4 linked regions of the Schizosaccharomyces pombe genome follow. Changing the gene in region 1 together with any one later gene gives a genetic interaction. Each region holds a gene or a part of one and is shown on either strand. Other genes may lie near its edges. The genes, in order: dnf2, hel2, pso2 and php5.

Region 1 (9,596 bases):
TGGTTCCAACGTTTCCACGAATGTCAACGAAACGAAGATGAGGGAAATTTCTAGCGAGAAGAGCACGACGTCTAATGCTGCTGGTTCCAACAACACTACCAGGAGGGAGATCGGCTACAGTTTTATAGTGGGAGCCAGCCTTGAAGACGATGGCATCCAAAGGACAGCTACGTTTGGGTATACAGGCTATCACCATACCATCTGGCATTTCAGAGGGCAAATCTTTCAAAGAATGTACGAGAATACGACATTGGTTAGTGACGAGCAAAGCTTCAAGTTCTCGCGTCCACAAAGATTTTGCTAGTTGACGCTTAAATTCAAACAAAGCCTTTGAGAGAATTTCATCGCCAATAGTATCTCTGCTAATGATTGGAAACTCAAGATGGGGGTAGTGTTTTTCGAGCTCTTCACGAATAATTTCTGATTGAATTACAGCAAGTTTTGACTTGCGAGTTCCAATGGGGAATGAAGTACAGGATGGCATATTACAATTAATTAGAGAATGTACAAAACAATGCTCAAACTAATAAATCTCTTTTTTTAACGAGGGAAAAGGGAGATGCAAATGTACAGAACTTTTAAAAACAAAAACTTTTGAAAGCAAACGATGTTACCAAAAAACAAGGGTGCGTGAGCAGAAGGAGTGAGAAACCCGCCAAATATAAATGTGTAAAGACTCGATGAAATAAATCAAAAAGGAAGCAACTTGGTTGGACGAAGAAATAGCCTTTGGCGCAACGCGGATACCGAGAAACCAAAGTATAATATTCTCAACAAACTTGAGAATGCTGAAAATTCAGTGTTTTGAAAGAAAAAAAAAAGTAAAATATACAACTAAAGGCTTTCTAAAACATAAGATTAAAAGGAATTAGAAAGAGAGAATTGAAAACCTTCAAGAAGAAATTTTTAGGTTGCTAGAGAACGGGATGCGTTTGTCAAGAATTCGCTCAATTAAAAAAAGGCGCCGGTTTTTTTTTCACTCTTCCACCAGTAAGAAGAGCGCTAATTGCGCAGCCCGCAAAATTTGTAGCGAAGTTTGCTTTGACTTGCGTTGATAAGCCCAACTATCTCACGTTCCTTATCTTGTGCACAACGATATTTCGTTAAAATACTATAAGTAGTATACGGGACAATGTCAAAATGTGCAAAAACTGTATAAGGTATCATTGAATTCGGTAACCTATTTAACGGGACTTTCGAATGTGTAACAAAATATAGTGAAATATAATTATAATACCTAAAGTAGGATTGCACGTTGCTAAATTCAACATTTACGATGTATCGTTGGAATCCAGCAACTTTAACCAAGCTATAAGTTTAGAGTATGTTTGTTAACTACATGTCAACAGAGGTGGGAATTATAAAAGAACTCAAAGCAATTTTGGAACGGCGATTGCTGCAAACTAGATTAGTCATTGTATTTTCTAATAAAATCTTTGAACCAAATTTTTAAATACAAAAGCTTTAATTGCTGATTGATATTTAACCCCCTATTTGAGTTCGCATATGGTACAAATGTCCATGTGTTGGAGCAATTCCTCAACGAAATGAGACGCAGACATACATGCAATGTTTTGTGATTGTATGCAAACATTGTCGTTATGCCTTTGGAATTGTTTACGCGTTAGTCGCGAAAATTATTCTCTAGTACTAGGAAAATTGCTTATCGTCACAATTTTTTTATTGCCAGTGTGAAATGACAGTTTTCTAATAAATTTCATTGATTTATTGAACCCATATGTTAGCAACTCTCTTTTCCCGAGAAGGAACTGCACAGCCAGTACTAGATGGACAAGTCACCGCGACAACTGGGAAAAGAGTGGCTTGAATAGTCACGGTTTGACTGAATAATTTTCGCGCTTTTCATTGAGAGTCACGTGAACGCTACATTAGTCGCCATTTAATTTTTATTTGTTACCATGTTTTAACGGATAAAGGTCCATTGTTGTTTCTCCAAATTGGGTTTGTCTCAACATACGGATGTATTAGGGCGACCATTTGTTGATGCACTGAGCACCAATTTCATTCGGCCTACACATTCTCTTTGTTTACTTTTTGGAACTAATTATACGTTGGTCTCTTTGCGTTTCGGTAATGTTTTGTTTATGCTGGTAACATTTTATAATGTTGAAATTGTCAAATACTCTGTACATTAAAGACTTGATTTCGAAATTCATCTTAAAAGATCAAACCTAGATTCGCGGATTGTTTACAGTTTCATCTTAACCGCACATTCGCATCCACCAGCAATTATCTACACGTGATTTTATGTTTCCGTGAATTTAAAAGATCTAGTAAAATGTAACAATGATGGATAGCAACAAATTCGATTTCATTAAAATCATAGGAGAGCATTCAGTCACGTAAAACTCGCACCCACTATCATTTAACTAGCCATGCGCTAATCTTAAGTGAAGCAAGTTCACTAATAACAACCGTAATAATCTATTACTATGCTCTAAGCAACAATTTGCTTGCTATTTAGCAAATGAATACTACTGTTCTTTTACCGATTTGCAACGGCAGCCACGTCTGCGCCACTACATTACCGCTATCGGTCAGTTAACGAGAACGTATATACAGTTTCTTATGGCGTTTAAACCATCTACATTCATCTGCATTATACAAAATAAAATCGAAAAATTCAAGCCGAATGTAATGTTTTCGGCTGTAAAGAGTGCGCCAATAGTGCAAACCTTTTCTTGTCCTAAAACTCTTGGTTCAATGGGAACGCGTAAGTATTTAGCAGTTAGTAAGTAAACGGATTTTGCTACTTCAAAAGAAAACAATGCAACCATGACGTTGATATTTTGGAATAACGGGATAGGAATGAGCAAGTTGTTTTGCAACTCTATGTTACTTAACGAAGCATAGGTGTTACTTTGAAGGGTTGCGAAAGTCTGACCACAACCCAACACAGTTTTTACAAAATTCGTTTCAATTCTTTGATTCTGCTGTAAAAAATAGGTTGAGAGCGTTTTTATTATACGCCAAGTAAATTTTTTCGAAAAATCCTCTTTTCGACGCTTACTCTTTTCTTAGTACTAGGAGGCTGCACATAAAGCTTCCTTTGTTATCTTAGTCTCAGAAAAAGGGCGTTCTTTTTATTTTACATTTTCGTTGCGTCTCCATATTATCCCATCAAATATTGGTACACGCCTTTTATTTTCATTTTATATCATCTTTTTATTTTATTTTATTTTTCATTTCACGTTATTTACAAGCACATCGTTTTACTATTCGGTTGGGGCATCGTTGATAGATTTTTGTGTTCTCGGTATTTGTAACATCCTCTTATCCGTACCTTTTCCAACACATAATCCCCACATATCTTACATTTAGAAAGCCTATATAAATTATATCTTCATTTGTTTAGGGCCGTCCCTCTGCATTTGACTCTTGGCTTTAATTTAGTTTTCTCCTCATTGACTACAGACCACTCTCCTTGAGGTCGGATGGAAAGTGTTGAGGAAAAATCAAAGCAAAGGCGCTGGCTTCCCAATTTTAAGGCTTTACGGCTCAAAGTCTACCGTTTAGCTGATCGTCTGAATATTCCTCTTGCTGATGCCGCTAGAGTAGAGTTAGAAGAATATGATGGCTCAGATCCACAATCTTTAAGAGGCCTTCAAAAGCTTCCAAGGACTCTTTACTTTGGATTACCATTACCAGATTCGGAGCTTGACGATACTGGTGAAGCCAAGCGTTGGTTTCCTCGTAACAAAATTCGTACTGCTAAGTACACCCCCATTGACTTTATTCCAAAAAATATTTTTTTACAATTTCAGAATGTTGCAAATCTTTTTTTCTTGTTTTTAGTTATTTTACAGGTATGCTTTCTTATTCTCATCACGATTGAAATCACCAATTATCTTGGTTCATTTTTTTCTTTACTAACGTTTTATGTAGTCTATTTCCATATTCGGTGAACAAGTAAATCCTGGATTGGCTGCTGTTCCTTTAATTGTTGTTGTCGGTATTACCGCTGTTAAAGACGCTATTGAAGATTTTCGCCGAACCATGCTTGATATTCATTTAAATAACACCCCTACCCTTCGTTTAAGCCATTATCAAAACCCAAACATTCGTACTGAATACATCAGCTACTTTAGACGATTCAAAAAACGGATCTCCGCTCTTTTTCGCGTATTTCTAGCAAAGCAGGAGGAAAAGAAGAGAGCAAAGCGTTTGAATGACGCTGTACCTTTGGAAGATATGGCAGGTTCTGAATCAAGACCTAGTTATGATTCTATTTTCAGAGAGTCTTTTGAGGCAAAACGATCGTTTGAAGATTCAAAGGGCAAAGTCCCCTTAAGTGCTTTAGATGGGACTGCAACTATTCTCCAATCGCGTCCCATGGATATTATTGATTATGAAGCCGAAGCTACTGGCGAGTGCCATTTCAAAAAAACATACTGGAAGGATGTCCGTGTAGGTGATTTTGTAAAAGTTATGGATAATGATGAAATTCCCGCAGATATAGTCATCATTAATTCATCCGACCCTGAAGGTATTTGTTACATTGAAACCAAGAATCTTGATGGTGAAACCAACTTAAAAATGCGTCACGCTCTAACGTGCGGAAAGAATGTAGTTGACGAGGCCTCATGCGAGAGATGTCGTTTTTGGATAGAGAGTGAACCACCACACGCTAACCTTTATGAGTATAATGGAGCATGTAAGTCCTTTGTCCATTCTGAAGCAGGTGGCTCTGATACCTCCCAAACTGTTTCAGAGCCCATCAGTCTGGACTCAATGCTATTGCGTGGTTGTGTCCTTAGGAATACAAAATGGGTGATTGGAGTTGTCGTATTTACTGGCGATGATACCAAGATTATGCTGAACTCTGGTGCTCCGCCATTAAAGCGTAGTCGCATTACTAGAAATCTTAATTGGAATGTTTATCTTAATTTCATTATCCTTTTCTCCATGTGTTTTGTTTGCGCAGTTGTCGAAGGAATCGCCTGGCGTGGTCATTCTCGCTCCTCGTATTACTTTGAGTTTGGTTCCATTGGTGGTTCTCCTGCCAAAGATGGTGTCGTCACGTTTTTCACTGGTGTTATTCTTTTTCAAAACTTGGTGCCCATTTCGCTTTATATTTCAATTGAAATCGTTAAGACCATCCAGGCAATTTTTATATATTTCGACAAAGACATGTATTATAAGAAGCTAAAGTATGCTTGTACTCCAAAATCTTGGAATATTTCTGACGATCTTGGACAAGTGGAATATATCTTTTCTGATAAAACAGGTACTCTTACTCAAAATGTTATGGAATTTAAAAAATGTACGATCAACGGAGTTGCGTATGGTGAGGCATTTACCGAAGCAATGGCGGGAATGGCAAAACGCGAGGGAAAGGATACTGAAGAATTGACTCTTCAAAAGCAAAGTTTCATTGAACGTGACCGAATGCAAATGATTTCTCAAATGCGAAATATGCACGACAACAAATACCTTGTGGATGATAACCTCACGTTCATCTCGTCGCAGTTTGTTCATGACCTTGCTGGCAAAGCTGGTGAAGAACAGTCACTTGCATGCTATGAGTTTTTCTTGGCATTGGCCCTTTGTCATAGCGTAGTTGCAGACAGAGTTGGTGACCGGATTGTCTATAAAGCACAATCGCCAGATGAAGCTGCACTCGTGGGTACCGCCCGCGACGTTGGCTTTGTTTTTTTGGACCAGCGGAGAGACATTATGGTTACTCGTGCTCTTGGAGAAACCCAAAGATTCAAATTGATGGATACTATTGAATTCAGCTCAGCGAGGAAGAGAATGAGTGTGATCGTTAAAGGACCCGATAACCGTTATGTGCTTATTTGCAAAGGTGCTGATAGCATTATTTTCGAACGTTTGGAACCAAATGAACAAGTTGAATTACGTAAAACCACTTCTGAGCATCTCAGAATTTTTGCATTGGAAGGTTTACGAACACTTTGTATCGCAAAAAGAGAGCTTACTGAAGAGGAATATTACGAATGGAAAGAAAAGTATGACATCGCCGCATCTGCAATTGAAAACCGTGAGGAGCAAATAGAGGAAGTTGCCGATTTGATTGAATCTCATCTTACTTTGCTCGGTGGAACAGCTATTGAGGATCGATTACAAGAAGGAGTACCTGATTCAATTGCATTATTGGCTCAAGCCGGTATCAAATTGTGGGTTCTGACCGGAGACAAAATGGAGACTGCTATTAATATTGGTTTTTCTTGCAATTTATTGGACGCTGGCATGGACATGATTAAGTTTGATGTGGACCAAGAAGTGTCAACACCAGAGTTGGAAGTTATTTTAGCTGACTACTTATATCGTTATTTTGGTTTGTCTGGATCAGTTGAAGAACTTGAAGCTGCTAAGAAGGATCATGACACTCCCTCTGGCTCTCATGCGTTAGTTATTGATGGATCAGTACTTAAACGAGTTTTAGATGGTCCAATGAGAACCAAGTTTCTGCTACTTTGTAAAAGATGCAAGGCTGTCTTGTGTTGCCGTGTTAGTCCGGCTCAAAAAGCAGATGTTGTTCAATTGGTACGCGAAAGCCTTGAAGTAATGACGTTAGCCATTGGAGATGGTGCGAATGATGTTGCAATGATTCAAAAAGCTGATATTGGTGTTGGTATTGTTGGTGAAGAAGGCCGTGCTGCAGCTATGTCTGCGGATTATGCAATCGGTCAATTCCGATTTTTGAGCAAGCTGGTTCTTGTTCATGGCCGTTGGGATTATAATCGTGTTGCTGAAATGGTAAACAACTTTTTCTACAAGAGTGTTGTATGGACATTTACTTTATTCTGGTATCAGATTTACAACAATTTCGACGCAAATTACCTTTTCGATTATACTTATGTTATGCTGTTTAACTTGATTTTTTCATCGTTACCTGTCATTGTCATGGGTGTCTATGATCAAGATGTTAATGCTGATTTGTCGCTTCGGATCCCTCAGCTTTACAAGCGTGGTATTTTGCAATTAAATTCAGCCAGGAAAATCTTTATTGGATATATGCTTGATGGGTTTTATCAGTCTGTAATCTGTTTCTTTTTCTCTTTTCTTGTGATTAACAATGTGACCACAGCTGCTCAGAATGGTCGTGATACTATGGCTGTACAAGATTTAGGTGTTTACGTTGCTGCGCCAACTATTATGGTTGTCGACACGTATGTTATTCTGAATCAATCAAATTGGGATGTGTTTTCAATTGGTTTATGGGCGCTCAGTTGTTTGACATTTTGGTTTTGGACTGGCGTCTACTCTCAAAGCCTTTATACATATGAATTTTATAAATCTGCTTCGCGTATATTCAGAACTCCAAATTTTTGGGCTGTTTTATGTGGAACGATTGTAAGTTGTCTTTTCCCGAAGTTTTTGTTTATGACAACGCAAAAGTTATTTTGGCCATATGATGTGGATATCATTCGCGAAAGTTACCGCACTAAACGCCTTCATGAATTGGATGAAGAAGAGGAGATTGAGAATGCCGAACAATCTCCAGATTGGGCATCTTCTACTTTACAGGTCCCTTTCAACGCATCTTCGTCAAGTTTGGCGACACCCAAGAAAGAACCTTTACGTTTGGACACAAATTCGCTTACACTCACATCAAGTATGCCAAGAAGCTTTACCCCGTCATATACTCCAAGTTTCTTGGAGGGCTCTCCTGTGTTCTCTGATGAAATACTTAACAGAGGCGAATACATGCCTCATCGTGGTTCCATTTCTTCTTCTGAACAGCCGTTACGGCCTTAAAAAATGGCAAGTTAATAAGCTGAATTATCTAATCAAGATAATCTGTGTACCCATTCTATTTCTACGCTATGCTTAAGAACATAACTTTTCATACTAAAGAATGATGAATTATCGAATAATGATTATGATGTTATAGAAACATCTCTGCATACTAAATAAAATACATGAACGTTTACATTTTTCTTCTGAAATCAAAAGATTGCATCAAATTTAAAATGTATTTTGCATTCACAGTACATTTTAAAAATAACGAGATAAATTTACTATATCTAGTTTACATTTGTATGATAAATAATAAAAACAGACTTTTTAACAATCTTGTTCTAAGTAGTAAATTTGGTGGTTGGTTTTTTAAGTTTTGAAATTTCCAGCGACTGCTGTAATCAAACTTTGGTTGCTAAGGGTAAATGGCTGATACCTAACTCCGATGGAAATGTACTCTGCCGTAAACAAAACACGTAAGGTTATTATTGACAGGAGTTTTGCATTTTTTGGGGACCAAAACGTTGGATGTTTACGATACATATTTAAAGAAAACTAATAATGAATCGTGTTAATGATATGTCACCAGTTGAAGGTGATTTAGGACTTCAGCTAAGTTCTGAAGCAGATAAGAAATTTGATGCATATATGAAGCGACATGGTCTTTTTGAACCCGGCAACTTGTCGAATAATGATAAAGAAAGGAATTTGGAGGATCAATTTAATAGTATGAAGCTTTCCCCAGTGGCATCTTCGAAGGAAAATTATCCTGACAATCATATGCATTCAAAACACATTAGTAAGTTACCGATTGCAAGCCCTATTCCGCGTGGTCTTGATAGATCTGGCGAGTTGAGCTACAAGGATAATAATCATTGGTCAGATAGAAGTTCAACGGGTTCACCAAGATGGGAAAATGGATCTATGAACTTGTCAGTTGAAGAAATGGAGAAAGTGGTCCAACCTAAGGTAAAGAGAATGGCAACCATTTGTCAAATGTTCTTTTTAGACCATTACTTTGAGCAGCTTCATTATCTTTATACCCGCAAGCAAAGAGCCCGTCTTTTTGAAGAGCAGTTGCTTAAAGAGCCTGATTCACGAAGAGACGAGCTAGTGAAGCGATACAATGGACGTGAACGAGTATATCTAAGGAAAAGGAGGACACGCATTAGTCACGGAGATTTCCAGACCATCACTCAAGTCGGACAAGGTGGATATGGCTCTGTTTGGTTGGCTAGGAAGCGTGACACCAAAGAGATTGTTGCTTTGAAAATCATGAATAAATCGGTTTTGCATAAAATGGATGAGATCAGGCATGTTCTTACTGAGCGTGATATCCTTACGACAGCCAACTCGGAATGGTTAGTTCGTCTACTTTATGCTTTTCAGGATACTTCAAACATTTATCTCGCTATGGAATTTGTTCCTGGTGGTGATTTCCGTACTTTGCTTAGCAACAGTGGTGTTTTAAGGGATCATCATGCCAAGTTTTATGCTACAGAAATGTTCCTAGCTATTGATGCTTTGCATCAACTTGGTTACATCCATCGTGACCTTAAGCCAGAAAACTTTTTGGTTGGAGCTAGCGGCCATATTAAATTGACGGACTTTGGTTTAAGTTCTGGAATAATCAGCAAAAAGAAGATTGAAAGTATGAAGATTCGTCTTCAAGAAGTCAACAATGTCGTTGTTCCCGAAAGGAGCATGAGGGAAAGGCGACAAGTGTTTCGAACTCTTTTATCTCAGGATCCTGTATACGCTCATTCAGTAGTTGGCTCTCCTGATTATATGGCCCCAGAGGTTTTACGAGGTGAAAACTACAACCACTCTGTAGACTATTGGTCTCTTGGCTGCATCATGTATGAATGTCT
Region 2 (6,361 bases), on another chromosome or scaffold:
AAATTCTCGGTACAGTTGATCGCCAAACTGTATCTGCGAAGCAAGTTCGTCAACTTTTAGAAGAAAGAAGAAAGGTAGATTTGAGTGCGCATAAAAAAGACTTGAATGCGCTGATTTTGAAATGCTTTGATGAAACCGCCGCACCTTCAGAGAAGGAGAGTTTAGGTAAGATGAGAATATTGCTGGAAGAAATTTGCAAATAATAATGCAAGAAATAATAATTAACCAAACTTGTAGAAAAACAAGCACCCGCTCGCAAAACCAAGGGTAAGAGAGCGACGGAAAATGGCACTGAAGAAGGCAAGAAACCAGCAAAGAGAACCCGAAAACGCAAGGAAGATGGAGAAGAGGGTGGAAAACGCAAGAGGAACCAAGATCCTGCCAACAATCCTCTGAATAAGCCTATGAAGTTGTCCCCTAAGTTGGCCGAATTTTTGGGTCTTGAACAGGTAAGGCGGTGTTGTAGTGTGGAAGCCGTGCCTACTCGTTCCATTCAAAATCTTGTTGTTTTGAAAAAAGAGGCAGGCTTACATACTAAATGTTTATTTGCACGCTTTCTCTGCTGATTGCTAACTAACGTAGTTATCTCGTCCCCAAACTGTGAAGAAGTTATGGGAGTATATAAAAGCACATGACTTACAAGATCCCAACGACAAGCGAACAATTCTTTGTGATGACAAATTGAAAAGCGTTTTCGAAGTCGACACTTTGCATATGTTTACCATGAACAAGGTAAGTTAATCATGGATGGGTTCACAATTGTTTTAAGGAGGTTTGTCAACAAACTTTTACTTTGTCGATTGTAACTTTCCTTGTCTACTTTTTTCATTTGGTTACTTGTGGAAAACATTCCGCATTGCTCTTTGTTACCTGCTGCCGAAGCTAAGCTAACTTAATTAATAGTACTTAACAAATCTCATGACGAAGATTCCTGATGATCAATTGCCCAAACCTCAGCCTAAAAATGAAGAACCAGCGGCTCCGAACGATCTTCCCAAGCAGGAGGAAAAAGAGTTGGTCGAGCCTCCTACCGCCGAATCCACCGCTTGAGCCTTTGTGTTTGCTGCATGACCATATAAAACAGCCAAAACTTTTTTTCATATAATATCTTGCAATAATCCCTTTTTTTTTTGTCTCCAAAAATCATTCAAGTTTTTTGCTTTCATTGCATGCAATAAATGTTTATTTCGTTCAATACTCGCTTGCTTACCTGTTTTTCCTCAACAGATTTTGCCTATGTCCATGTCATATCCGTGCTTTAATACTAGAGGCTATGTATGTCTAGAGAGTCTCCACGCATAATCAGATATCGTATTTTGCATTACAACTTTCTGATCTTAAATGCAGTGTGAAAACAAAAGTTCAGGTTGCTGACTTTAGACCTTGGGTTGCTACAAGAGGTAATTTACGTTAGACTGACTGTGATTTTACGAATATTTCTTATCACCTATTCCTTATGGATATCTTTGTGCTTTTTTTTATAAATTCATATAGCATATTGATTTTCTTTTCTAAATGAACTGTTGTGCATGATGGAGATTTTCATGTATTGTATTAACACTTTCTTCACCGCACCTTTAATTATTTTACCGCTGCTTTGCTCTATAATATCATTGAAATAAAAAATGATTCACTTCAGCCCATTGTCGGGGAATTTTGTTTACGAAACCACCGTCGCTTGGAGCTGTCGAAGCCATATCATCAATAATAAATTTTATTTACTACCCTTGCGTATTACAAACCCATAATATGATGTTTGCTTTACAGTTTTGGATGATCTAAGATATGGCTTGGTTGTATGACTAGTACTCGTCTTGTGTCTATAGTGTATATATTAAATTATACGCAAATGGATGTTTTCTGGATATATGCTTTTAAGTCTCAAATAATGTACTGTCTTTTTAATTTGTTTATTATTTTATTTTGGGATTTTCTTTGGGGTTGCAAACCTGTCATCCGTTTGTTAGAGTATGTTTACATAAACATTTTTGTGTGCTTGTGGGTCGTTTTTTTTTTGGAAGATTGCTGCTTATAACCGTCAAAAGACTTATAAATTGATTAGACTGAGTGGAAAGTGTTCTTCTCTTTTATATTAGTCCTTAATGAATATACTTATTATTGATTGAATCATTTCATGGTGTTTACGACTTCTAAAGATCCAATCACACTTTAGATGAAGCCACATTTAACAGTTGTAACAATTGCATTTATTTGTAGACAGGACAACGCTTGCTTACATACATACACGACTTCTTGTTTAAGCACAAAGTAAAAAGATTATGGCGAAAAAGTTAGGGGAATATTTTTTTCAAAACAAATTAGTAAATTATATAAGCCCTTTATAAGAGATTGCTATTTACTTCCGCTGTACATTCAATGCTATATACGTTTCTAACAAAATATTCGATGCACGTTTCAAAAATCAATTCAGAAGCTTAAAAACTTTCCAATAATGTTGAAATTATAAATATATTCTTAGTTTGCGATATTCCAGCTAATTCAGAGGTCTCCAGCTAAACTGTTTTTTTTAGCATACAGCAGCTCGCTTTACGAAATTTTATTTACCCAGCGCCATACACGCAATCTTCTATAAACAATCAAAATGTCGCCTTCGGGCCCCAATTTAAATAATAAGGAGCACAACAGAGCATCGGAAAAAAAGAATTCTAGGACTCATAATAAAAAAACTAATAGGAATCGTACGTAACTTCCTTGTTGACATATTCCTTTTAACACATTTCAAGAAAGTAAAGAGAAACCGGTAAGCTCTAGGTCGGTAGAAACTCCAAAAAATGCAGTTTGCTTAGAGCCGGTTGGCACAGATCCTGTCAGTAATGTCGCTACTGTTGATGCTTCCAAAGAAGAACAGGATGAGGATGAGCAAATTTGCTTCATTTGTGCTGAAGGTATTACTTACAGCTGCGTCCTTCCTTGCAATCATCGTATGTCTTGTATCATGTTTTAAAAATGTTACAACTATGTTTAATCTAACTTAATTAGGAATGTGTCATGTTTGTGCTTTGAGATTGCGAGCGCTATACAAAACGAAGGAATGTACGTTTTGTAAAACCGAATGGGATACGGTTCTCATTACTAAAGATCATGAAATCGATATTCATGATGTCGATTTAGCAAAACTTCCTTTCCAAGATGAGAAACTTGGAATTGTGTATTCTGACGAGCATGCTCAAGAAGAATCCAACCTCTTGCTTCAATTCAACTGTCCAGAAGACGCTTGCGATATCACATGCAAAGGCTGGTTTGATTTAAAGCTGCATGCGAAGGTCAAACACCATAAGTTTTTCTGTGATCTTTGTGTTAAGAACAAAAAGGTTTTTACCCATGAACACACGCTATTTTCCAAGAAAGGATTGACAAAGCACAATGAAGTTGGAGATCAGGGATCCGATTTAGAGATTACTGGATTCAAGGGTCACCCGAAGTGTGAGTTTTGTAATACCCATTTTTATGATGATGATGAGTTGTTTAAGCATTGCCGTGAAAAACATGAACGATGTTACATCTGTGACCAAGTTGCAGGAAGGCCGACGCATCAGTACTTTAAAAATTATGATTCGTTAGAGCGCCACTTTGAAAAAGATCATTATATTTGTCGTGAAAGGGAGTGTTTGGAACGTAAATTTGTTGTTTTTGGAACTGAAATAGATTTGAAAGCGCATCAGTTGGATGAGCATCCCCACAACTTTACTCAACGCGAACTTCGAGAAGCACGAAGAATTATTCCTCAATTTAGTTACGACCCACCCGGCGCGTCCGGCAGGAACCGTCGTGAACGAACTTCTTCCACACCATCCGAACAATCTACTTCAGTGAATGAGACTGCCAACTCACTCTCTAACCTACACCTTTCCCGTGGAGAGATTGCTCACTTACGACAAGAAGAATATGTTCGCGAGCAACAAGCTCGCCATCGTGATTTTGGTTTCACGTTATCAAATCCGGCGCCTACATCTGCCCGCCCAGCGACATCTACTAGAACCATCAGCAGAGGAAAAACTAGAACGTTAAGAAACGAAGATTTCCCCTCTTTAGCCGAGGTTGCTAATCAAAATAGCTCTTCCGCACCCTCAGTACCTGTCTCCGCGCCTCGTCTGTCTGGTAAGTCTGCTTCAAGAAATCATGTTCCATCTCCACCCAAGGGCACTAAATCCCCGATGGCCTCTTCCGAGCAAGCACAACACCAACAAGTAATTGATCGGATGCAAAAATTGACGAATTACGATGATCACAAAATTAATGACTTTAAATTTGCTGTTTCTTCCTTCCGTGGTAATGTTATGCCCGCTCGTGAAGCTGTTGCTCGCATTACAAAATTAGTTGCAAAGCCTCATGAGCAATTGTCGGGCGTGTTCAACCAAATAGCAAATCTTCTAGAAAATAAAGAGAAGTCAAGGGAATTGTTGGAAGCTTGGCAGGAATGGAAAATACTGAATGCGAAAGATGATACTCGTATAGGTACTACTAACTCTAATCTTTTGCGCTTGAAGAGATCAAATAGGACTGCTGCTCAAACAGCTAGTGTTTGGAATCGTATTGAGCGTGCAGCAGCTCACGATGGGCCTTCTTTGTCTGCTCCATCATCTTCTATAAACCTAGCAAATATTACCTCAAGGCCAACGAACAGCTCAGCTGCAAATACTCCTTCTTGGGGTGTGCGCAAAGCACGTGCATCTGCGTTAAATGCAAGATCTGAAGAAGATTTTCCCGCACTTCCTCCTTCTACCTCGAAGAGAATTTCTGTTCAACTCGGAAAAAAGCAGGCTCGTCCCGTTGATTCATGGGGGTCTACACCAAATACTTCTTCCAATCGTAATAGTAATACGATGGGTGTTTCAAAGAAAAAAAACGGAAAAAAGCAAACTGTTTTGTTTCACATTGGTTGATTTTGGTTTATTGTATATAATAATTTTATTGATGGATGGGCATTTCGTTAATATATAATAATTTTGGGATGTACTCATTTATAATCTAGCACTTTATACCTTTTACCTGACTGTTGGGTTGTTTATCTGACCTCATAAAAGAAAGTGTCGTTTTGGAAAAATTAGCATTACATTGAGGGTCCTCCGCTAATGCTCCTGCGAAAAATGATTTTAATTTTGGATGTTTTTTCAGAAATAAAATGAAAATTAGCTTGATATAATATCAACCGGCAGCGAGTAATAGATTTAAAATAAATTTGATTAATTAAAAAAATTTGTTGTTTTAAGCAAGCCATTTTGCTAAAATCAAAGGTAATGGAAGAGTATTTCCGAAAAATCTCAACACATGTGAATGATCAGAAAATTATCGCCATAAAAGACAGAATAAGTCATCAGCGGTTGTTTCATTTCCTATATTTTTTTTTTATTTTTTTATTTTTTAATAAGGGAAAATTTAACGTCTAAGGATACAGAAGATTGTTAGCACATTAAAGTAATAAAGGCTTAAGTAGTAAGTGCCTTAGCATGTTATTGTATTTCAAAGGACATAATCTAAAATAATAACAATATCATTTCTCACAAGTTATTCAATTTTCTTTTTTTTTTCTAATAATATCAAGAATGTATTATTTGTTTGACATAAGTCAACTAATTTATTTAATATGCTGGATTAATCTTGCAGACATGTAAATTAACAAGTTTTAGTCAAATAACGTTGAAGTTTCAATGAACTCAAATAATTTCTCTTTTTTTTTATATAACCATATGTCTAATCTGATTTATATTTTCCGCAGGGATCAACTGAAGTTATGACATTTGGATTGGATCACTTATAACCTTGGTCGCCAAATAATACAAAAATCAGCGTTATAAAACAAAGAAGGTTTTTGTTAAGAAATTAATCCTCTTTCTTGATAAGAAAGTTGAACCGAAATTGCAGATACTGATATATGAAAATAATACCCACAATTTTGGGAATAGCGCAAGCCTCAATTTAAACAATAGGTGAGGACACATGATAATGACCTCAATGATTGTTAGAAGAAAAGAGCCTCATTACAAAATCGAAAAATGAATGGTTGGGTACAAGTTTCCAAAACATGGTAAAGTGGACTTTGCGTATGAGACGTAAATAGAAAAAAACACTTGTTATATGTTTTCTAGAATTATTGTTGTCTCTTTATGGTTGGATGATGCAAAATAGTAATTTCGGTTAGTTGCTGTAAAACACCACGAGACAAATAGATATGGATATTTATTAAATCAGGAAAAACGTAACTCTCGGCTACTGGATGGTTCAGTCACCCAACGATTACTGGGGAGAGAAAACAGGGCAAAAGCAAAGCTTAAAGGAATCCGATTGTCATTCGGCAATGTGCAGCGAAACTAAAAACCGGATAATGGACCTGTTAATCGAA
Region 3 (7,746 bases), 930 kb from region 1:
GAGTAAAGATAGAAAATAGTTTAATCAATTAAAAACATCAACGAAAGTCTACTTAAAAAATAATGGTGGTTAAATAAATCATATTGACCCTAATACCTATACCCAAGTTGTGAACTAAGTCTGACGTTCCAAGCAAAACCCATATTATAAAGTGATGAACAATAAAGTAAAAATAAGATATATTTACACGAAACATTGAAGACACAAGGATAAACACAAGCAGTTTATTCACTGTCCACCATCGATAGCAAAAAATCTAACAAACCAAAAAATAGATAAACTAATTCTCACGCCATTGAAATTTGCATTTGGTACAACGATAAAAGGTACTCATAGGTTCATCTGCACTACGAATTTGAAGTTGGAAGAAGTAAGCACGATTATTGTCACATTTTGTGTTTTCACAAGTGACTTCGGTTTGCTGATTAGATTCAAAAGCTTCTTCTCCACCTAATACATCGTCAACTTCCTTTTGGGCAAATTCGTGACGACTGTAGAGAAAAGTAGAAATTGGAAAATGATAAGGACATGTTCTACAGTCGAACGCATTCCTTCCTTCCTCGTCAACCGCGACAATTAAGTGATTTCCACAAGTAGGACAAAACTGCATTATGAAAGCTCAAGTAATAATAAAGTGATGAGCCCTCTTAGTGGTTTACTCCATATGTTATAATTTTGCAAACTAAATTGGTTGTTTACAATGTCATGACTTTAAAAGTAAATTATTAACCGACAACTTCATAATCTACGCTATTTTTGTTTTGTGAAATTTTACGAAAATGTCAATATATTTGTTAAAATATAAACGTAAGGATGTAGCTGTAACTCTTCATTAGTTTTGCATTTCAAGAAAGTAAATCGCTCACAGAATAAAAAGACGAAGAAAATTTTTGTTTTCTTCTTTCATTCATTTAATTACATCAAATTGTATTTTTCTTGACCGAATTTTATCTAATGACCATTCAAAATATAAGGAAATATACATATTATGCCCTAAAGTACGTTATGTTCGTAGACATGTGACTGCTTTTTTTGAGAACAAACATGCTCCTATGCCGAAACAAAACTTCTCTCATACCAGCAGCAATTTGCAGAAATGGTTCGTCAATCTGTTCTCGCTGATTGTTTAAACAATATCGTCAACGCTGAGCGCCGTGGACGTCGCCAAGTGCTCATCCGTCCTTCCTCTAAGGTTATCGTCAAGTTTTTGACTGTCATGCAAAAGCATGGCTACATTGACGAATTCACGGAAATTGACGACCACCGTTCTGGCAAAATTGTTATCCAGTTGAATGGTCGTATTAACAAGTGCGGTGTTATCTCTCCCCGTTTCAACGTTAAGCTTAAGGATATTGAGAAGTGGGTCAACCAACTTTTGCCCTCTCGTCAAGTCGGTGTCATTGTTTTGACCACCTCTCGCGGTATCATGTCCCACAACGAAGCTCGTGCTAAGGACGCTGGTGGAAAGATTCTTGGTTTCTTCTATTAAACTCAGTTATCTTTCCTTTCAACTGAAAAATAAATAAGCCCTTCTTTGTTATTTCAATTTGCGCTGTAGTTACTGTAAGACTGTTCGTATTTTTTAACATTCCATTAAAGAGTGTAAAAAAGGTAGTAGAGGAATTAGTAAAAATGGTGCTTAAAGCCACTTGAATATTTTTGCTTTCAGAGTTGGAAATCGAATGTAGGGTAAACTTTCTTGTTGTACTGACTAATTTGCTAACAGAAGCTGTTACTTTTACGTTTCAATAAATGTAAACTTTTATATTCAATTTTTATGTATCTCATAATTTCCGTAATATAATCGATCTTAGATATGAAGAAAAAGTATGCATATCTACATAGTTGATCCTGAGAGGTAAGACATCTTCCCGTATTGCAGAGAAGACCCCTAATTAGATTATTTTAAAATAGTTGAACCTATTTCATAAATGTGCACTTTTCTACTGTTCCCATTATCAACATCAATTTTAAAACTTAACAAACACGACAGCTGAAGAAAGCAAAAGTAAATAATGTCGGTATAATTCTAGCATTTAAATTAATTAAAACATCATTAATGAATACAGTTGACATCGTCAACTTTTTTATTTATAAACAAATCGAGATGTATAATATGTACAATTCTAGAGAAAAATGGCGGCAAAGTTACTTTACGCATTTCTTAACTCTTTAAATTTATGTTTGCGTAAATTTGAAAGAATAATGTATTTAAATCATATTCTTCTTCCAATTATTAAATTACGATACTTTAATTAGTTGATTGCCATTAAGCTAGAGGTGCGAAACTTTGATTTTGCTACTCTTACCAAACTCACATTCAATGAAGAAAAGCCATTCACTCCCACCACTGAATTATTTCTCCCAATAAACCATCAAAATGGAAGAAGTAGTTCATTATTTCCTGGAAGGGAATATGCCGGTGGCACAGTTTCGAGAAGCATTAGCTTTGCATTATACAAATGAAAAAGAGCTATTTGAGCAAGCGAAGAGATGTTTAAATATTTGTTGCGGCAGCAACAACTTTGCAAAACGGAACGACGTTTTGTTTTCTTTACTTGATGTTGCAGTTAGCATTTCGTCTCTTGAGTTACGGAAAGAGTTAATATCTGAATTATATGTTCCAGTACAGTCGTTAGAGGAGGCACCTTCAGAATATTTGGTTTCCTGTTGTTTACAATTAGCCACTATTTATGAAGCTGAGCAAAATTTTGAGCTTTTATGTTCTTCATTGGAAGCTGTCGAAAAACATGGTCATTTTGAAAACGACCTAGAGCAACTCTTGTTATTAAGAATTCGTTTAGGAGATGCTTATTTAAAGTTAGGAAAAGCTGAAAAAGCAATTTTAACCGTAAGGACAAGTATACCATTGGCATTTAAAGTTAGTAATGATCAATTGCTAATGGAACTTCAACTTTGCAATGCTCGCGCTCTCGATGAAACAGGACAATTCCTAGAAGCTGCGAAATGTTACTATCGGGTACTTCAATATAAAGTACCTGGAAATGAACTAATTTATAGAGAGAACTTGTGTTCAGTAGCTCAATGTTTACTTCTAGCGATTCCTTCTCCTATTGTTTTGCAGTTCCTCCAAGAAATCTCTCTCCAACCATCCGTCCGAGAAATCCCGTTTTATTCTCTAGTCGAAAAGTACCTTAAAAGAAAGTTTATCGGAAAAGAGGACGGAGCCTTTCTGTTGCCTTTTCTACTTCCTCACCAAGTAATTCATATGAATAGATTGATAGAGGATGGTCGACATTTTTTGGAAACGAATATCCTTTTTCTTTCAGAGTTTTTTGAAGTTTCTTCTACATCTATACTTGCAAAACACTTTAAACTTTCTGAGGAACAGGTTGATACAGTTGTTGCTGATATGGTGATACAAGAACGATTGAATGCTTCAATCGATCAATGTGAAGGATACATTACTTTTTTGCCAGAGTATGGAAAAGCAAACAATCTTCCTAATTATGTTAATAAAATTGCAACCGTTCTTCAACATTACGGTTCTTAGACCAAATGTGAAAAAAAAAACTGTTTTATAGTTCATCTATTTTATTCATTTAAAATAATATTTATTGTATAATGTCATAGAAATATTGACGTTCTTATTTGTATCTTTTTCACCTCGTGGTCGCTAATGTTTGTTTACATTATAAGTAACTTCCCTCTCTGCCTGTTCTTATATTATTTACATGTGCTTGTAACTCCAATTCGCAGTACCAATTGGTAATGGAGCAATTTGAGATAATCAGAGAATCGGATGCTGATCCTTACTACTTTAATAAAAATCTTCGACTAGAAGAATGCGAAATTGACGGGTTTACATCAATTTATAAAGCTCCACCTCCATATTCTTTTGTCGCTGGTCTAAGTAAAAATACTTCTTCTAACAGTTTTGTAATCCACAAATGTCTTCCACCTTTGCAAAGGAACAATACAATTAGAAAAAGAAAGCGAAATCCTTTTCTAGCTGACAGACCTTATTGTATCAACAGTGAGGACATGCCTTTAAGTGATGACCGAGATATGTTAAAGGAACGACACGTCAAATCGCGAAAACTTTTATTAAAGGAAAAAGGAAATCGTTTTTACCGTAGAAGTTGATTTTTATAATTATTACCACCTGTTTCTAACTGTTTGTCTTAAAACTCCTTCGCATGTTGATGATTTGTTTTAAGGAGCTTGAGCGAAGACTACTTTATGCTTGCCAAGAGGGTTTTTTTTAAGTGTTTTGCCTTGAACTGTGCAATTGCAAGGCTTTTCAGTAACAGGCCTTATTGCCATTGTAGGCCATTAAGAAAGTAAAAGGAAAAAAAATTAAAATCATTAAGGAACGCTAAGCTGCAGTGAAAGTATATTTCTCACTAGCTTCTCCAAATCGAAGTTTTTTGTAAATAAAACGCATTTTCGTGAATAATCGATGCTTTTTTTTTAAGGTGTTTTTTTCTTTTTTTTTCATTACTTCAATTTTCAGTTATTACCCTTCCTTAGGTATACTTCTTTTTTTTACATTTTAGACCAGATCCTGACCGACCAATTTTGGATCATCCAGCGTCACATAATAATTCATCCATAACACTTTTTAATACTTTGAAATTTATAGTTAGAGGTAAAGTTTCTAAATCTGTTTCCTTTGTTTTTTCGTTTTGATCTTTCAAAGGCATACCTAATATTCTACGACTTCTCATACACATTGTACATTAGAAAAAGTCGCTCTTGACGTCTACTCGCCGTTTCCTTAACTTCAAGACTTCTTTTAAGCGATTCTTGCGGATTTATCGTGTCTTTCCTCGAATAATAGCTTTCATTATTAAGCTAAACGAAACTTTACAACTTTTGAAATAACTTCCTTTAAAAGAATTCAATCACTTACTGTTGTTGCTTATACACCAAAAAACAAAAAACTAATAATTTTGCCTTTGTTTACGTTCACTGAAATGAGTAAACGAAAGTCATCGTCTATTTTAGATTTTTTTAAAAAATCTAATAATGGCAAAAACATGTGGGGTAATGAAGCTGTTTCTGTTGAAAAAACTGATTCCACCACCAAGCCCTCTACAGTAAAAAATGCAATTTCAAGTTCCCAAATAAAAAATGAGAAATTCTCACAGGAAGTCTTATTACAATTCAATGATCCAAGTTTCACTTCTGAAGTGGGTGAGTCTCCTCAATGGCAATCTTTTGGGGATGCTAACATCTTAGAACCTTTAAAAAATGAGCTGGTTAAAAACGAGGAGTCAACCATGTCTGAATTGCTTCTTTGTCCAATATGTGGAATAACTTTGGAGTCTTTAACTGTCGATGCCAATATACATGTCAATGACTGCCTAGACGGGAGAACAACGGAAGCTGTTTCAAAAAAGCTGAAGAAAGACTCTGTCGTTAAAGCCGATCCTTCGAATTCGAGTACATTCCCAATATCTGATTCCTGTAAACAGGCGTTATTACCTTTACCTGGAAAGCAAATTAATGTTCGGTCTGTTGTTCCTTTCTATAAATTAATGCCTTATAATATTCCTTTTGCCGTTGACGCATTTGCTTACGGTGCCATTGATGGTGTTGAAGCTTATTTTTTGTCACACTTTCATTCTGATCACTATGGCGGTTTAACTCCAAAATGGAAGCACGGTCCTATTTACTGTTCAGAAGTAACAGGAAATCTTTTAATAAATGTCATGCATGTTGATGAACAATATGTGAAGCGTCTCAAACTAAATCAACCATATAATATAATGGGTATTACTGTATATGTTTTGGATGCTAATCATTGTCCAGGATCAGCTATGTTTGTTTTTGAAACGCTTCAGAGTAATCAAACAAGACGTGTTCTTCACTGTGGAGATTTCCGCGCTTCTAAGGATCACGTTATGCATCCTGTTTTACGAGAGAAGACCATTCATAAAGTTTATTTGGACACTACATACTTGAATCCTAAATATACTTTTCCACCCCAAGCGGATGTTGTTCAAGCTTGCGCCGACAAAGCAATATCTATCAAGAAGTCAACAGATTCTAGGCTTTTGGTAGTAGTTAGCACTTATAGCATCGGGAAAGAAAAAGTAGCCGTTGCTATTGCAAAATCTCTTTCTTCACGGATTTATGTGGTTCCTCGAAAAATGCATATTATTAAACAACTTGAAAATCAAGATTTAATAGATTTATTAACGGATGATCCTACGCAAGCTTCCGTACATATGGTCACTATGATGGGAATACATCCGAATTCGCTTCTTGACTATTTGGAACAATACAATAGTTCCTTTGATAAGATCATAGGGTACAAAGTTACTGGCTGGACATTTCAACCCTTGGAAAATCGTGCACAACTTAGCAGTAGCTTAGACTCGATAATTTCCAGACCACCGAAATTTGTGGAATACGATTTAAGAGCGATTAGAGGAAGCACCGACAAAGTGGCAGCTTTTGTAGCCCCTTACAGTGAACACTCGAGCTTTTATGATTTAACTATGTTTTGTCTGTCGATGAACATTGGACATATTATCCCAACTGTAAATGTGGGTAGTCAACGGTCTCGTGAAAAGATGAATGTATGGCTAGATCGTTGGGCTTGGCGCCGAAAGAAACAAGGCCTACTTTCATTGGAAAATGTGGATTGGTAAACCAAAATCTACCACAATAATTTTCCTTTCTGTTTCTTTTAGGGTTATACGAGCTTGTCTGTAGCTATTATTTATGGTTCTTATAATTAATGTTAATGTGAGCAAAATGTTTTTGTATGTATGCTTTACTATGCCAATCCTTTATCCTTCTATATTTTATTTTTTTTTTTAGTTTCAGGAGTGCTAATACAAGATTATACAAAAAAATGACACCAAAGTGTAGGTGTATATTCATTTAAATCAAACTATGAGCTTGCAAATAATCCAAAACTTTTAAACTTTCTTTGAGCTTCGTTTTTTTATGATCGAATACTTAACATTAGTTCATTTAGGCTAATTTTCTATTTTTTTTAATTATAATAATAGAGCAATCTACAACGAATTGTCATCAAATAAACACCTTTCATTATAAAACACATCATCAATTTTTTTTCTAATTTTTTTGTAATAGCATTCGCCATTGATGAACGATGAACCTTAGTATAAAAAATTCTCATAAAACATTGCCCCGAGAGTTGAAACATCATAGGCGAAGGAGCTCAAGATTCAAATTTCCACTACAGAGAAACAACGAAAATAATTTAATGGAAAAAAAATCAAGCTACTCATAAATAACCAAAAAAAAATTCCAACAGTCCAGCAAAGGGTGTTAAGAGAGAAGAAAAATAAAATAAAATAAAAAAATATATAACAAAATTATAAAAAGTAATAACAAAAAGACAGTAAAAAATGATTGAAATATGAAATATTGTTGGGATTTATGGAAGCCTAGTCAACAAAAGACTGACTAAAACAAAGTTATTGTAGTTGAATACAGATAAAGATATGAAATTATCAATAAATAATTTCTTCCCAATGAATCTATAGGTAATTAATACCCGTAATTAACAGATTTAGCAAGTCATAAAATTCTCCCACTCCAAAAGGTGGCATAAAATAAACTAGGATCCAAAATAAATAGCAACATAACTTTGATAATAGCAGTATAGAAATTTGATATCCAATATAACTCAAAGATGGAAAGCATGAATGCCTATCAGTCCAGAGTATATATGAATTATGCGATGAGTCTTGATGTTGTTCGTTTCAAACAAAACAAAATATCGAAAAAAAATAGTTAAAA
Region 4 (7,364 bases), on another chromosome or scaffold:
ATTATGGATTGGAAATAGTTTGGTGGAAATTAGATGCATCAGAACAGGAAGCTATTAAAAACAGTAAGTTGTTGATATGTGAAAGCTCTTTTAGTTTGTTGACATTTAGGCGAATTACGGAATTTAGAGAATGCGAAATAAAAACACGAGATTTGTATGACCCAGAAATTTAGTAACGTATATGGCTTAAAGAAGCGAGATTACGATTTGTTAATAGTTCAGTATGTCAAAAATTCTTTGAATAGCTAAATGCTACAGACGAAACACTCAGTCAAAAGGTCCTCGAGTTGTTTGTTCAAATAATCGAGAAGAGGTTATTTTTTCTTCGAGTTTTACGTCGGTTACCTAAGACTAAATACATCTACTTAGAAAATACGAAAACCCCAAGTAAAGCTTCACATAAATAAGGTTGCAAAACAAACTGAACATTTATACTTATGAACATGTAGATAAATTGCCAAAAAAAAGGTTGACGAACTCTAAGATTACGAATAATTATAGAAAATGAAGAAGCTTTGGTGTTCTAAAATGTCAAACTTATATATAAGAGTTTGGAACCAAAGCGTGAAACATGCTTACTCTTCGTCAATAATTTCTTCCTCCAATCGAATACCTTCTTTGGCAAGTGTATCAATCAATGGACCGCAAAGCTTCATATCATTAGGAGCCAAAACACCTGGGGTGTTAATAACACCATCAAGAATTTGCTGAGTAGCAACACCACAAGGAACGCCGACTAATTTTGCCATAGAGGTGTAGCCATTAGGAACACCGTAGTCAAGCAAAGTGCAAGTACGAGTTTGGCGTTTTCCTTCTTTGGTTTCAACTTCAAACTTGTGTTGAAGGATTAACATATCACGTTCACCTTCTTCGTATTGCATAAGTTCCTCCAAGGTAGCGCATAAGGTGTCCAAAGGATTACCACGAGGAGTAACGGGTTTGCTAGAGAACATACCAAGCCACTTCAAACCATTCAAAATGCGCTTCTTGTCGTCTTCATCTTTGAATTTGTGGATGGAAGAAATTTTCTTGATTAGGTCGGCTTCGGAGGAAGATTCAGCCTTGATGACACGAGCAGTAACCTCCTTCCAAGGCAAAGCGGGTGCTTCAGGAGATAAGTATTCCTGAGCTGTCTCATCCAAAAATCCCATATCAACCAAACAATGAATAAACTCGGGAAATCCTTGGTAACGTAAAGTACCGCGAATGATAGTTTCTGCTTCAGGTATTTGATAGCGCTCTTGGTAGACAGTGGAATCACGATTAGGATAACAAACGAAAGCGTAACCGGGATAGATGAAATAGGGTTTAGCAGTTTCCATCAAATCCTTGCCGTCAATTTCAACAAGTTTGCCGTTTTCATAAAACTTGGCAGAGTTGCGAAGAGCCAACAAAACACCACGAGAAGACCAAGAAAACTTGTATCCTAAAGGATTGTTGGAGTCCTCGGGAGCGGGAAGACCTCCACAATAAGACAAGAAAGACTTAATCTTACCGCCAGCTTTATGAACCTCTTCAATGGTCTTGATAGCATATAAATGATCAATACCGGGATCGACGCCGATTTCGTTCATACAAATAGAACCAGCCTTGATGGCAGCTTCCTCCAACTCAGCCATTTTGGGATTCACATAACTGGTGGTACAAACGTGTTTACCATGCTTAATGGCAGCTTTCATAACTGTTGCATGATAAGTGTAAGGAATCAAGCTGATGGTAAGATCATGTTCGGAAACAGCTTTCTCAAGAGCTGCTTCATCATTGACATCCAAAGCAATGGCTTTGCTGTTTGGGATACCATTAATAAATGCTTCAGCCTTAGAAAGAGTTCTGCATGCTACGGTTATATTATTTTCTTTACGACGAGATAAATATTCTAAAGTAGGATGAGCGACAAATCCCGAACCAAGTAATAAGATGGAAGGCATTTTGATGTTGAAAATGAAAGAGGCAGTCAGTTAAGGACAAGTGGTAAACCAAAGACTTCTGTTTTGTCGTCACGGTTTTAGCGATATATAAGGGGTTCCTTTTTATCCACAGATTTATTTCTGATGGCCGAAATCGTCGTCTAAATTGATGAAAACTGATTATCTCGAATCGGTTAAAAAAGCAGTCACATGGACCATTTTTTGAATTAATATTTAATCGTTACGTTTCCTCTCAATGTTATGTTTGGCTTACTAGGGGAATTCGTTATTATCGACAAGTTTAGTCGATAATTTGTTAGCAGCGATGTCGCAACTGATAGTTTTAGCAACTTTTTTTACGTAGTTTTTTTCTGCAGAACAGAAGTTGCTTAAAAGCTAGTAGATGCCATTCGTTGTTGTTTGGGGGTAGATTAAAGAATTCTAAGCTTTAGTATAAGAATAATTTGTTTCTCCTCTTTCTGCCTATCTGTTGTTCATAATCAACTGCGTAGTTCTGGTGAAGGAGTAAATTAAACTGCCTCGCACCGCCGTACTCATTTTTACCTCGAGTATGGTGGCCGTGGAATGGTGGTTTTTTATGCAGTCGGGAATGAAAGCAGCTGTAATTTCCTTGCATAATGAGCCTAAATACCTTTTTACATAGAAGTTAAAATTTATGAGATTTTAAATTAAAAAATCATCAAAAGTGCAAATTTTCAAGTACATATACGAATAAATTTAATTATAAAGTAAACCTAAACGTTGTTTAAAGCTAATTGCTTCTTGGTAACCGATTGCAACATGCCATCATTTATTTACATTGACAACCCGTAAATATCCATAATAGGTAGAATGTTATCGACAATGAATTTCAAATGCATATATATGTTTAAGTAAAACAAAATACTCTACACTAGCAGTCCCGCAATGGGAAAATAAAGAGGCAGCAAATATGAAAAGCTTCCGTCATTTCTTTTTCGGTCTTGCTAAAAAAATAAAACCACACATAGCTTAAAAAAAGTAACAATGACTAGACATAGCATGTCATGAAAATCAACTGTTTCTTTAAGCTTTTGTAGATAAACCGAAAATTGACAAATTGAAAGTTCCACCTAAAAATGCATCACTGTTGGATCCTCCCAAATAATTTAATAGAAATTATTTAAATTGCATGTTCTAAATCAACAGGTATTAAAAGATATTACTGGGGTTGTTGCGAATAGCGAGAAAGAGGGTTTTGTTGCTGGGAAAACTGCTGATGCATTGGGTTTCCCTGACGCCCTTGCTGAGTTTGATACATCATAGCGTTTGGCTGTGAATAAAGTCTCTGTTGCTGATCGAATTGCCGAGGAGATCCAGGTCTTCTTGACATACCATATGCAGAAGGATCAAACATTTGAGACTGTTGCATATTAGGTCGCATATTACCTTGAAATTGGGGCATTTGATATCCCATAGGGGATGACTGCAATCGGAAAGCTGAGGATCCAGATTCGAGATGCGTAGGTGGATAACGGTATAAATGCTCAGCCATGTACGGTGCTACCATGACCGGTCTTTGCATATTCATCTGGTTAACATTTCCGGAGTTATCTGACATTTGTAGTTGTGGATATTCAGAGCCCAGACGCTGCTGTTTATACATAGATTGATCAATATCTTGCATTTGCTGCATTCTGGATGGATGAGAGGAATACTGCATTGAAGGCTGACTTGACTGTTGATTTGAAAATGGAAGTTGACTACCAGTTGGCATTGGAAACCCTTGATTGGGTAAGCCAGCTTGAGTGGGGAAAGGTTGTAAACCATTCATACCACCCATAGCAGCAACTTGAGTAGCAGACATATGAGCTTGACTGGAAGATGCGCGGGAATTATTGTTATCTTTAGATATAATATCAATTAAGAAATCATACATTTCAGATTTTGATACTGCATTTGCAATATCGGATCTTTGTAGTGTCCTTCGTTGATTTTTTTTGGCATGAAGCCAAGCCCTCATAGTAAGCTCTGCAATAAATATCTCACTTCCTTTAGCGAACAGAAAAGGAGCTTCTGCCGAGATCATTTTATTCTAAAAAAATTAGTAAAAGTTAATGTCAAAAAGTATTCGAATACTCAAAGTAACGTACCTTCACATCATCGTCAGTTTTCATAACTTTCTGCATAATCAATAGTTAGTAATTAATTCAGAAAAAGTGGCATACCTTAATACGAGCTAAGGGAAGATGCAGAGTTTTTACAGCTTGATCGTCATGTTCCAATGTATCGATGGTTTTTTGCCAATATTCAGCAAGGGCTTGTGCATCACTGCCAACAAGACCTTGAGTAACATTATCAAATGGACTAGCAACCTCAATGGGTGCACTAGCGTTGTAGTGATTGACAGCAGTTGGATCAACATCGGGGACTGGTTGTTGGAAGCGAGAAACAGAATCTTGACCATAACCTATCCGTACCTGAGAATTAGGATTGCCAGAGGGATCAACATATTCTCCTAAACCTTCGGGAAAGCCTTGTTTCAAGGAATAGGAATCAGGAATAGAATTCATTTTGCAATGAATCTTAATTGAAAAACGAAAAAAAGTCTACAGAAAGGCAATTTAGTTTAAAAAGAAAACTGGAAACGTAAAGGCCTTTGCCAATTAGATAAGAGATCAATGCAATCTCACTGGTGACAGGTTTAAAAAAACGACAATGACAAAAATTGTAACTATGCCGGGATCTAACAAATACCAGTTTCCTAAAAACAAAGCTGTTAAAGAAACTGACAATAATTTAAGCTAAAGAATTTCAAATCGAAAATCTAAATATTAAGAGGCGATAAAGATGCGGATTAAAGAAAACTTCCAATACCTTGATGTACAGCTTAACAAAATCGTAACCAAGATAAGTAGAAATAAAATAGAAAGGGAGCGGAGTAGTCTCCGGTAAAATGGGGAATTAAACTTATATGAGAGGTGAGCAGGAGACGAAACAGGGAAGTAAAACAAATTGACGTCAAGTTGAAGAGTGGAACGGAAAGAAAAAAATAAAAAGTTTTACAATCGAAAGGAACACGAACGGCTAAACACGAGGCTTAGTTGCAATATCTAAAAAGATAAATACCAATCGTCTTAATTCACGAAAAACTCGTAGAATGAGTAAGACAAAGCAACAAGTGCAGTTACTAACGTATCTCTAACACATTAACTTCTTAAAACAAAGAACTTCAATAAAGAACACTAGTAAAGCACCTTAACTCGTCGAAGTGTCTTGAATTATCTATGTAGCGTATTACACCTGGCTTAATTAAGTATATAGAGTGCAAAAACACTCAATATAGCGAAAATCGGTACGATTGAATTTATTGGTGGCTGGCAGAAGATGGTTGGCTGTCACACAACTTATTGATGGAACCGGTTTATAGTACCACATACTTTGTTTCTACAATTGCTAAAACACTTTAACGACACGTAAATATTCATTATTTGATATACATAATTAATGTTTTCGCGGTAGTAGATATAATACTATAAACAATAGCATGTGCAAATATTATTCAGTAATTAAAGCAAACAGAATAGAAAATACGTATAGTAATTGACTTCAATCCAGGAATTACATTAAAATACATCCTTGTTAATTGAATCTTACGCCTTTTTAAAGTCCTCGCAAAGATAAAGCTTACCGCGTTACAATTTGTTGGTCTTACAACAGTTCTTTAAACGTGAAAGAGTAATTGACCTTTATAAATAGAATTATTTTGAATGTAATAAATTCTTATTTTTTGTTTTATCATTATAATAGTAGGAATTAGAAAACACTTTCAAGTAGCTAGGTTTAGCATCTTTATAAATAAGTATGATTGAATAAGCAGAGATTAATTATTTTTAAGAAATTTAAATATATCGTTTTCAAATTAACCATTTGAGCCACAATCATCTAACTAGTTATTTGAAATATCATAAAAAAATCATTGCAGAAATCAGTTTGAAGCTGCTTAAGTCACTCATAATAACAACATAAAACACTTATTTGAAGGTTTGCACTTTACTATATGAGATGTTTGTTGCTGGTAATATCGTAAGCAACGATCAGCAAAAGTTCTGTTGTAGCGTTTGATTCAACTTTCCTGTTTGTAATTACCTTTGATTTAATAAGAAATTTCCTTTTTCTAAATACTGACTGATCTTATCATATAAATGCTTTGCTCTCAAAAGGCTTGGCTGCTTGAACCTGACCACTCATCCAATGCTATAAAATTCACTAGTTGTATAGGTGTCACCAAACAGTTTATTGAGATTAAACATTTAAAGCTTTAAAACTAATGAATCAGTTTTATTAAGCATTGGTAGCTTTTCTTTTCGTTTTGAGGAGAGTCCAGTTGTTAATGATAATTGCTGCTAGTTTTATATCAGATTTACAATCACGAAGATATCCTTCACTTCTTCATTTCAATCATTTTTTGTTTTTCTTTCATCTTAAGGCTAAGAAAGGATGCTATCACGATTCATTAAAAGAACATATAGCACTCAAACTTCTTCACCTGTAGTCGGCATCATCGGTTCTGGGCCGGCTGCTTTTTACACAGCCCACAGACTCTTACGAAATGACCCAAATGTCAAAATAGATATGTTTGAATCCCGCCCAGTTCCATTTGGGCTTGTACGTTATGGAGTTGCCCCAGATCATCCAGAAGTTAAGGTAAGTCTGTTAAGCCAAGAAATATTGATTGGTTTAAAAATGGATCTTATTAAATTTATTATACAGCTAACCTCTATTGTAGCATGTAGAACACAAGTTTTCCGAAATTGCTGAGTCTACACAATTTCGCTTCCTTGGTAACGTAAACGTTGGGACTGATGTTTCTTTACGGGATTTGACTAAAAATTATGATTGTTTGGTCCTTGCCTATGGAGCTGCTGGGGACAAGAGACTGGGAATTCCAGGGGAGGACTTGTCAGGTGTTTATAGTGCGCGAGAAGTGGTGGGTTGGTATAACAGTGATCCCAGAAATCAAAATCTTGAGTTGGATTTAAGTCAGGTAGAGGATGCAGTAGTTATTGGACATGGTAATGTTTCACTTGATGTAGCTCGAATCCTTTTAAGTAATCCTGCTCAATTATCCCCAACTGACATTAATCCATTGTTCCTCAAATCACTTGAAAGAAGCAATTTAAAAAGATTACACATTGTAGGAAGAAGAAACATATTTTCTGTCTCGTTTACTATCAAAGAATTGAGAGAACTGTTTGCCCTATCAAGTGCAGTTTTCTTTGCTCCTTCCTTTAATTATTCTACAAAGTGGATGAATGAAACAGATGCAAGCGGTTTGGATAGACCTAGAAAGAGATTGTTAAAGCTATTAGTTTCCGAAATCCAGAAAGCTGTTTCAGAGAAACGAGTAGCCCCTTATTCAAAAGACAAGAAATGTTGGAATTTGGAATTTGGCTTAACACCTGTTGAGATTCTAGG

The links.
Region 2: mutations in dnf2 (region 1) and hel2 together harm fitness less than expected from each alone (positive genetic interaction), as found in Schizosaccharomyces pombe (one large-scale study listed by BioGRID).
Region 3: mutations in dnf2 (region 1) and pso2 impair growth when combined (synthetic growth defect), as found in Schizosaccharomyces pombe (one large-scale study listed by BioGRID).
Region 4: mutations in dnf2 (region 1) and php5 together harm fitness less than expected from each alone (positive genetic interaction), as found in Schizosaccharomyces pombe (one large-scale study listed by BioGRID).

The regions. Positions count from the first base shown.
Region 1 is NC_003424.3:222,543-232,138, reverse strand, and holds dnf2 (phospholipid-transporting ATPase), read left to right. Parts: upstream 1-2,902; 5' UTR 2,903-3,455; coding exon 3,456-3,827; intron 3,828-3,906; coding exon 3,907-7,743; 3' UTR 7,744-8,059; downstream 8,060-9,596. Other genes in the region: hem3 (hydroxymethylbilane synthase), read right to left, coding at 1-484; SPOM_SPAC24B11.14 (uncharacterized protein), read right to left, coding at 1,003-1,309, 1,340-1,396, 1,458-1,594; serine/threonine protein kinase (NDR family) Sid2, read left to right, coding at 8,287-9,596. UniProt on the Schizosaccharomyces pombe protein: Catalytic component of a P4-ATPase flippase complex which catalyzes the hydrolysis of ATP coupled to the transport of glucosylceramide, phosphatidylcholine, phosphatidylethanolamine, and small amounts of phosphatidylserine from the lumenal to the cytosolic leaflet of the cell membrane and ensures the maintenance of asymmetric distribution of phospholipids.
Region 2 is NC_003421.2:1,832,011-1,838,371, forward strand, and holds hel2 (ubiquitin-protein ligase E3), read left to right. Parts: upstream 1-2,563; 5' UTR 2,564-2,602; coding exon 2,603-2,699; intron 2,700-2,744; coding exon 2,745-2,942; intron 2,943-3,000; coding exon 3,001-4,904; 3' UTR 4,905-5,454; downstream 5,455-6,361. Other genes in the region: RNA polymerase I upstream activation factor complex subunit Spp27, read left to right, coding at 1-165, 238-449, 583-732, 904-1,050. UniProt on the Schizosaccharomyces pombe protein: E3 ubiquitin-protein ligase that plays a key role in the ribosome quality control (RQC), a pathway that takes place when a ribosome has stalled during translation, leading to degradation of nascent peptide chains.
Region 3 is NC_003424.3:1,155,987-1,163,732, reverse strand, and holds pso2 (DNA 5' exonuclease), read left to right. Parts: upstream 1-4,250; 5' UTR 4,251-4,940; coding exon 4,941-6,623; 3' UTR 6,624-7,246; downstream 7,247-7,746. Other genes in the region: DNA-directed RNA polymerase III complex subunit Rpc11, read right to left, coding at 281-610; rps2201 (40S ribosomal protein uS8), read left to right, coding at 1,097-1,489; COP9/signalosome complex subunit Csn4, read left to right, coding at 2,381-3,514; protein mug103, read left to right, coding at 3,733-4,107. UniProt on the Schizosaccharomyces pombe protein: Required for DNA interstrand cross-link repair. This requires cleavage of cross-linked DNA to generate DNA double strand breaks (DSBs).
Region 4 is NC_003423.3:3,391,242-3,398,605, forward strand, and holds php5 (CCAAT-binding factor complex histone fold subunit Php5), read right to left. Parts: upstream 5,266-7,364; 5' UTR 4,460-5,265; coding exon 4,115-4,459; exon of another isoform or gene 4,070-4,114; coding exon 4,040-4,069; exon of another isoform or gene 3,982-4,039; coding exon 3,109-3,981; 3' UTR 2,663-3,108; downstream 1-2,662. Other genes in the region: mitochondrial F1-FO ATP synthase peripheral stalk assembly factor Ina17, read left to right, coding at 1-63, 110-141; lys9 (saccharopine dehydrogenase), read right to left, coding at 576-1,928; mitochondrial [2Fe-2S] cluster assembly NADPH-ferredoxin reductase Arh1, read left to right, coding at 6,387-6,593, 6,676-7,364. UniProt on the Schizosaccharomyces pombe protein: Component of the CCAAT-bound heteromer, php5 is essential for DNA-binding activity. It is essential for transcription activation of cyc1. It is the linchpin that binds to the subunit association domains (SAD) of php2 and php3 to bring these proteins together.